Linked DNA regions of Solanum lycopersicum. The protein of the gene in region 2 interacts with the protein of the main gene of each other region in a biochemical or structural test. Links are inferred from orthologs where the notes say so. Each region holds a gene or a part of one and is shown on either strand. Other genes may lie near its edges. The genes, in order: flowering time control protein FY and flowering time control protein FCA.

Evidence for each region.
Region 1: the proteins of flowering time control protein FCA (region 2) and flowering time control protein FY form a complex in vitro, tested with the Arabidopsis thaliana proteins (3 studies listed by BioGRID). The link is inferred for Solanum lycopersicum from reciprocal best matches to the Arabidopsis thaliana genes FCA and FY.

The regions. Positions count from the first base shown.
Region 1 is NC_090807.1:57,353,855-57,358,279, reverse strand, and holds the start of flowering time control protein FY, read right to left. Parts: upstream 2,833-4,425; 5' UTR 2,427-2,832; intron 2,323-2,426; 5' UTR 2,240-2,322; intron 1,657-2,239; 5' UTR 1,611-1,656; coding exon 1,298-1,610; intron 468-1,297; coding exon 376-467; intron 1-375.
Region 2 is NC_090800.1:63,230,495-63,234,322, reverse strand, and holds part of flowering time control protein FCA, read right to left. Parts: intron 3,106-3,828; coding exon 3,035-3,105; intron 2,470-3,034; coding exon 2,391-2,469; intron 1-2,390. UniProt on the Arabidopsis thaliana protein: Plays a major role in the promotion of the transition of the vegetative meristem to reproductive development. Plays a role in the regulation of flowering time in the autonomous flowering pathway by decreasing FLOWERING LOCUS C mRNA levels.

The DNA.
Region 1 (4,425 bases), on a different chromosome or scaffold from region 2:
TTTCCATAATGTTGGTGAAAATGTTGGGGCAGATGAATAAACACGTACCAACTATTCCTTACTGTTTATTTCCCACATTGATTCCCAACTGTACACACATTTTCTAGGCAGGGATAGGTTGATATTGAATGAAAGCAATCTTGCTAGTTTTTCCTAATGGTAACGGGAAAACAGCTTGTGGTTGTAACCCCTTTGAAAGAAAGAAAAGAGGAAAATGAACCCACACTTGACGTAAATTTTCTTAGTGATGCAGGATAACAGCTACTGATTCTAGCCCCTTGCTGATCTATATAGAAGTAACATATAGAAGAACATTTACGCAACACATTGCATAACTAGTTCTCTGGGTAAATGCCAACATTCAACAGTTATTACCTGCATATATCTTACAACTGTACTGGTGTAGTCAACTGCTCTTCTCTGGCCAATTTTTCTCATTCTCTTTGCAGCAAAACTGTCAGCATGAGCTGCAAATATAAGGAAAAGAATAAGATTTTGGCAGACATCGTAATCAGGTCCTGTAAATACTTAACAAAATAAAAATTAGGTGAAGTGAATTATGTGTCATCAAAGCAAATGGAAGTCTCTAAGAACAAGGTAACTTTCATCCTCTCTTTAACTTTATGGACCTAAACCTACCCAAGCAATAAGAATTGGTAGGTTCTATGAGAATTTGACAATCTGAGACACTCATAGTCTCATTATCAGTCAACTTGCGGGAAAGAGGCGATCTATTCTAGCCGCCGTATCTCATGACAAGAAATAGAGAAGTCATGAGAATCAACCTTCTTTTTGCTTCAAACATTCCGTCTTTCATCATGCTTCCTCTTATAAAATGAATGAAAATGATAAATGGCAATAAGAGTTCAAGATGAATATCTGTGAGTTGAAACTCTTCTTTCTTCTCCAACAAAATAGAAACTACATGAGCCATGAAATAACGACTAAAGAGGTCCTTCCCAGAGAAAACAAAATAGCATGTTCAAATGACACCTAGTTTCTACTAAAATTCTCTCTCCCTTTTTCCCATTAAAATTACAGTCAATTTCCAATTTTCAGTATCTAGCCATATATTTTTTCAGATTAATGAATTACACAGCAGCAGTTTGATAACTAAAATCAAAGAAATAAAAGAGAAGAAGTAGAAGCCGAAAAGTTGTAGCTAGGTATTTTTTCCTACAATAAATCAATTTGATAACAACTAGATTCTTGATTCGAAAACCAGCTGCCCGCTCGGCTGAAAAGCATATCAATCAATGATAAAAGTAAAAGAGTAAATGAAACATTAGTAACACACCGTCATAAGAAGGATGAGGAGGAGGTCCAGGTAGCTGAGAGTTAAGAGTAGTGGAGGATGCAGATGGCTGCCGCATCATGGGTGGTGGACCTGGCAGAGGTTGTGGACCCCTTGGAAACTCTCCAAAATGTGGAGGGTGTTGTTGCTGGTGCAGTTGCTGGTGCTGTTGCTGGTGTTGTTGCTGGGGCTGTTGCTGATGTTGTTGCTGCGGCTGTTGCTGGGGTTGTTGCTGGTGTTGTTGCTGGAATTGTTGCTGTGGCAGCGGTGGGTGCTGGTGCTGCTGATGCTGATGAGGATCACCACTCGCCATCATAGTTGCGGATCCAAGATTCAAATTTATGGATCCAAAATTCAGAGTTCTAGGACAATGGCCTTGAGTTAATATACAATAATAATTGGACCAAGTATCTGATATAGATATTCAATACATATTTGAAGAAGTTAACAACCACCTAAACACAAACATGTAAATCTTTCAAAAATAATCAATAATTACATTCATTGGGCACAAGTGCAAACACAATAACCTTTGATTTTCTTCAAACACCAATTGGCTCAAATCACAATATGCAAAATACCTAACAAGAGAGATTGCATTCCATATCTAATTGAGGAAGCTAAGAATTAAGAAAGCACCCAAAAAAATCGTTTCAACAACACACATACTGTACTGTAATGCAATCTAAAATATAACTCTGGATAATATTAATGAGAAGACACGGATTTTCATTCTAAATTTCTAATTTTTAATATGAACTTCACATAAAGAGACTGAGAACCACCCACTAAAAGAACATCGTGAAAGAAACCCCGGAATCAATCACATCGCATAAAAATGACAAACTGAAATTTGAATTAAAAAACTATGCCAACCTAAATTCTTAGAATATAGTGCTACACAAATATAAGAGATGAACAGGAAAAAAAAAGTAGCTGGTGTACCAGTTACAGAAACGTGAAGGAACCAGCAACACAGATTCGGAACTCCAGTAAAAAGGACCTTTAGCTAGTGCTACAATGGATGGCTGCAAGAAGTAAAAAGGGTTTAGGGTTTTTAAACCAGGAGTTAGAGAAAGAAGGAAATGCAGAGAGGTATCTAGTGAAAGAGGGAAGAAACGGAGCAACTTACTAGGCAAAATCTTCGCCGGAGATATCAACGGCGAGGGAAGCGCGATGTATTCGCCGGAGAGAGCAACGGCGAGGGTGTAGTAGCAGTGGACAGGTTTGGTGGTAATTTAGTGTGGGCTTAATTTGGAGTCCATGTTTTGTGTAAATGGAGATTTGGACAATGGAAAATGAAGTGAAATCCTCAAGGCCCAACACCAAAAATTACAGAGGAAAATCTAAAAGTTATTTGCGTAAAAAATGGAAAAATCACATCTATCACATAAATAATTAAGACTTTATATTACTATTAAATATAAAAATAAATTTTTATTTATCAAATATAATAATTATTATTATAATAGACTTGAATTAATAACATACTTGTGATCTTTAGGTTAATTTTATGAAAAGAAAATATGATTTTGGGGAATAATTACTGATGGCTTAGTTTCAAATATATATGGCAAAGTACTTAGAACCCATTTGGATTAATTTAAAAAGAAAGTAACTTTAAAGTCAAACTTAGATGACTTTTGGATCAAAAAGTAAAAAGTATAAGGAGATCTACTTTGTTTTAACTTAGTTTAAATTATTTTAAATTAATTTTAAATTATTTTTAATTTTGTCAAACGCTTCCTAAGTATTTTAGGTCATTTTAAACTTATTTTAAAATTTATCAAATACTTTTAGAAATCAAAATTGATTTAAAAGTAGGTTTGACCATCTTTTAATTCAATCCAAACACCCTCTTAGTTGACAATGAATATAGTCATGTTTTATTAATATAAAATAAATAGCCAAAAATCATAGAAAGTATTTATTGACTGTACAATATAAGTATACACGTAATATACATATAATTTATTTATATATGAGTTATACACTTACTATATATTATGATAAATTCAAAAAGTTGAATATTGTTTAACTTTATATAAATCGTACACTAACTATACGAAAAGTATGCACTCACTATTAAATTTCAATTAACTTTAAATCTCATTTAAACAATCAAAAGCTCTTCCTCTTTTATCCCAAATCACCATGTTTTTTCTACCATTGTGACCCACCAGCATTTTACAACCTGTACGAACAAAGACAATAGTCTCAACTCCTAAAATCTTAAGACGTTGCTGGAAAATAACTAGATGAGCAAATTTCTCACTTCAGAGGACATTATATCAGTGTTTTAACTACTGCACACTTTTTTTTAATAATCTCCTAGTAGCACTTAGTCGCTCACACTCCACCAACGAGCTTGTTTTTCAAACAACAAAAGTTATCCATCAATGGGTATGTATTAACTTCTCTTAGTTTTTTTTTCCAGTCAGGTGAGGGTATTGTCCTCTCATAAATGTGTAGGAATTATAGTTTACAACCTAAAATCATCGATAAGCAAGAAGGAAATCAAACCCAACCCTGAAAATGCTATTATATTTTTATAAACTGATGTATGGTAGATTTGCACTCATTTAAGTTCCATTTAGCGCAATAATTAGTGTTTTCAATGTCTAATTTTGTCCTATTCTAATAATATTTTCGATGATTTGCAACTATAAAGACAAAGACTGATGTTTGAAGAATGACCAAAAATACAAAAAGAAGTATAAAGTAAATATTGTTGATCGTCTAACATGAAGGACAGATCACCAATTGAGCAGGACCTTGTCCAAATTGACATTGCATAACACTTGTGTATATCAAAGAAGGTCGGCGGATACCAGTAAAGAAGGCGATGCATTGAATGAAAATGATGGTCCTAATGTTGTAGGGCAATCAGCCCAATCAAAATCACTATAACATGTCAAATGATCAAGTGAACCACCGGGTATATATATATATATGGGATTGAAATTTTATGTAAATACTGTAAAATACGTTTTACTCCAATATAATGCTGAAAGAGTATCAAATTATGGCTACATATGAAGAATTAAATGAAATTTGTGAATAATTAAACAAAATAAGATGTAAAATTGTGAATATATTAAACATAAGTAAACTAGCAAATGGTCATACAA
Region 2 (3,828 bases):
ATAGATTAACAAACACCTACAAAGAAGTGAATGAAGGCCAGAAATGGGGAAATGCATCAAGCCCAAGAAGCAGACAATCAAAATAACTTAAAGATGCAAAGCACAAAACAGAAACCAAAGTGAGAACCCCGTCACTGAAAATCAGTAACCTGACTCACTAGCGAATTAACTCAGCAGCACAACATTAACTGTAATACCTTTAGAATAAAAAACTTGTACTTCCCTGATTTTAGCCCAGTGACAGGCATCAAACATCTTTCATATCACTATTACTCTTTTTCTGACACAGTTTCTACAGATCCTAGAAACTTAAGTGGTGAAACTGTTTTCATTCCATGCAGTGTTGACCAACCATGTCATTCATGCAACTGCTCAGTCAAATTTTTAACTCTAGCCACCTTTTGTGGCATAATGGTGACATATGGCTAAATTAAAATATAGAAATTCTCAAGGTCCAAATCATACACTCACTACCTACCATGTGTATAAAGCAGATACTTATTATGATGGTCCCCTGCAGACAAAATAATATGTTGTTTGATAGAGCTCAATAAAGTCATGAGCAAAATAATTTGTTGTTTTATGGGATGCATATGAAGCTCAATAAACACACCTGCTATGCACCCCATGGGTTTTGGTAATGGAAAAGCATCACAGGGACGCGCAATTAATATACACAATCAACCACCGCAGAAGAATGAAGCCAACCATATATAATCTAATATATCTTATGAGGGAAATTGTTAAAGCAGCCTGCATTGATGATGAACTTCATCAAGAAAATTACACATCCATATCCATTAATGTACACAAATATTATATTGACCATGCCACTACACAGCAAAAGCAGTGCGCACAACCCTGTTTGTTCTACAAGGGTGTCACAACCCTGTTTGTTCTATAAGAGTGTCACATCCTGTAATGGAACAAAATCTAGAATTTACATAATGTGGCATAAGATGCACATGCCTTTGTTAATGAACAACTACCATTACTTCTGACAATTGTTATTGATCAGAAGCCAAAACTCAAAATCAACCACACCAAGAGCCAAGAGGATCACATAAATTAATAATTAAATTAAAACACCTTCCAGTGCATTATCATAAGAACCTCATCCACCCATGAACATCATCGAACAAACATTAAGAAGCATTCAATGAAGAGCTCACTCGTATTGGGGTAAATAATGCAAGATAATTCACAAGGCCCCTATCAGCACAAGCAATAAATTGAAGATGGAATATTAATATCCTAAACATCACATTCATCGTGGTATATGTTTGAAAAATCCTGGGGATACATTCAAATACACGATATTGCACCAAAAAAAAAAAGAGAAAATGGCAATGTCATGTCATCCAGGCATCTACCAAATACCAACCAGACACACTCATTCATCATGCACCGTATGTTGCAAATGATAAGCATACGGACGTATCGAGGAACTATTAACTAAAGGAGGGTGTGGCTTCAAAATCGACCATACATACGCATTCAACTGAACAGGAGATGAATGGAGAAGAATAAATGTCTAAATACACATAGCACTTCAGAATGATTTCACTAACAACTCAAATCAGCATCTAGCAGCCATGTCAGTCTCAGCACTCTGATTAAAAAGATACTCTATTTATTTGTTCAGTTGTTTGTTGTCATACACCAACCACTGTGATAAGATAAGCTTCAGATGAGATCTAGGAAAGCCTCAATAAGTTAATCATTCTCCGAAAATGAAAAGTAGATGATATTAGACTGTTAATTAATACGACAATTTACCAAGGAAATAGTTTGCAATTCATCCCTCGCTTCTAAAGAGATATGCTAAACATCCAGCTGGACACACCATTTCTATTTGATGATCCAACTTTACATCCACAAAAGAAATCCACAATTGGATTACTATAGAGTCAAGCCCGCATCAACATGATGAATTTCCACATCTACAACAACTGAGTAAATCATATCACTACTCCAATGGAATAGAAGTTGGGCACATCACAAGGTAATAATCCAAATGTCAATCATTTCAAGTGATGTACATCCAGAGATTCCACAAAGTAAACACAGAAAACAGTTGCGCTCACATAACCTAATACAATAATCATACTCTAATTTCTCCAACTGACGCTTATTCTACAAAACAAGACTTTTCTTCAATATTGTCTACTTCCACAGGAAGGTTGATTCACAAGTTTTATTCTCGTCTTCTCTTTGGTTGACTGGATGAACCCAAAAGACAGTTGCAATCAATACCAGGCATCCAGACAATTGTGGAAAACTAACTGACATCAAACATGATCTTATACTGCTCCTTCAGCCCTCAAAGGTCCTGAAAAGAGACATGTAGATCCAACGCAAATCTAAAAAAAAAATCTAGCAATACATACCTTGTTGTTGCCCAGTTCTCTTATCTTTAATGAAAGCAACCTCGAGTACTCGTCCTTGTTCCTCAAACAAAGGTCGGATCTGACATCAAACAAGAACGATCAGCTAATTGGACTAAGAGATAAGGAAGAATACCAAACACATTTTGAAATGATACAGTTTGAATAAAAAGAGAAGATCGGATGGCAGCATTCTTGGCAAACAATATGCATTGAAGTGTAGAAGTTAATAGGAAGCATATCCAGTGAAAATGAACTTCCTAGAGCATACAGGTCAAGGCAAGCAAAATCATAGTGGCATACCATCGCTCAGAAAATGTTCATCTCAACTACTTTCTGTTAAGAGAAATCAACATCAAATGCAAGTTATCAATCAATCCGAATACCAACATATTACATGTCCGTTCGCAATATAGTTTATTCTTCCCTCTTTGGCATGATATCAAGATCAATAGTGACACAGAGAACTAAGTACATGCCAATAAGGATATAAAATACGGCAAAGAAGAGAGGGCATGATCAGGAAATCTAGGAAGCAAATATAGTAGGAACCAGAACACAAAATACTAGTGTCACCTATTATGAGTACAAATAACAAGGAGGAAAAAAAAGACAAATGACAAGTTTAAAGAATAACAAGGACTTACATCTTCTTCAGTTGCCGTTCTTGGGACAGATCCAACAAAAAGTTTGGCAAAACCAGCCTCGTCAACTTGTTCTGAATGAATATGGATAACAATGAATACACTAAAAATAATATTTAAAAACAGAAAAACAAGCAGAGAAAAATTAAGGACCTATCGCGTGTTAATTATATACTAAGACGAATGTCACAAAACTCCCCTAACTGAACAAAAGATCTGCATTACATTGACCAAGCAATATGCAACTGCCTTGTAGTCAACAAATTTCATACATATACATTGAAAGAAAAACATTGGACCAAAAGTATCTTTCAAAAGTATGTTTACAAGTAATTGCTACATTATATACACAGGATTTCCAGTCAAAAGAACCATGATGCTAGACATTTTGATCTAGGAAGTACATAAGAGACATCCAAACAGAATAATACAACTTAGAATACTCTTCAGGCTCGATGTGCACATATAACTATAGGACAAAGGCGGGGATAAAAAAGTTGTACATGTTAGCCAAGGCAAGGGAGAAGATGACACGTGACCTGGACCAAGTTAAGTGCATGAAGGATGAGGACATCAAAGTACTGGAAGAAACACTCATTAGACAGAGATGATGGACATCAAAGTACTAGAGGACGAAACACTCATTAGACAAAGATGACAGTCATACTCCCATAAACTCTTGAATTAGGGGGGTGGCAAAGACAATTGTGCTGGGGGATCTGGATCACTCCAAGAGGAGTCGCGATTTTGGGTAATGTAGGTGTATAGAGGTGGTGGAGGTCACGGGTGGTATTTGT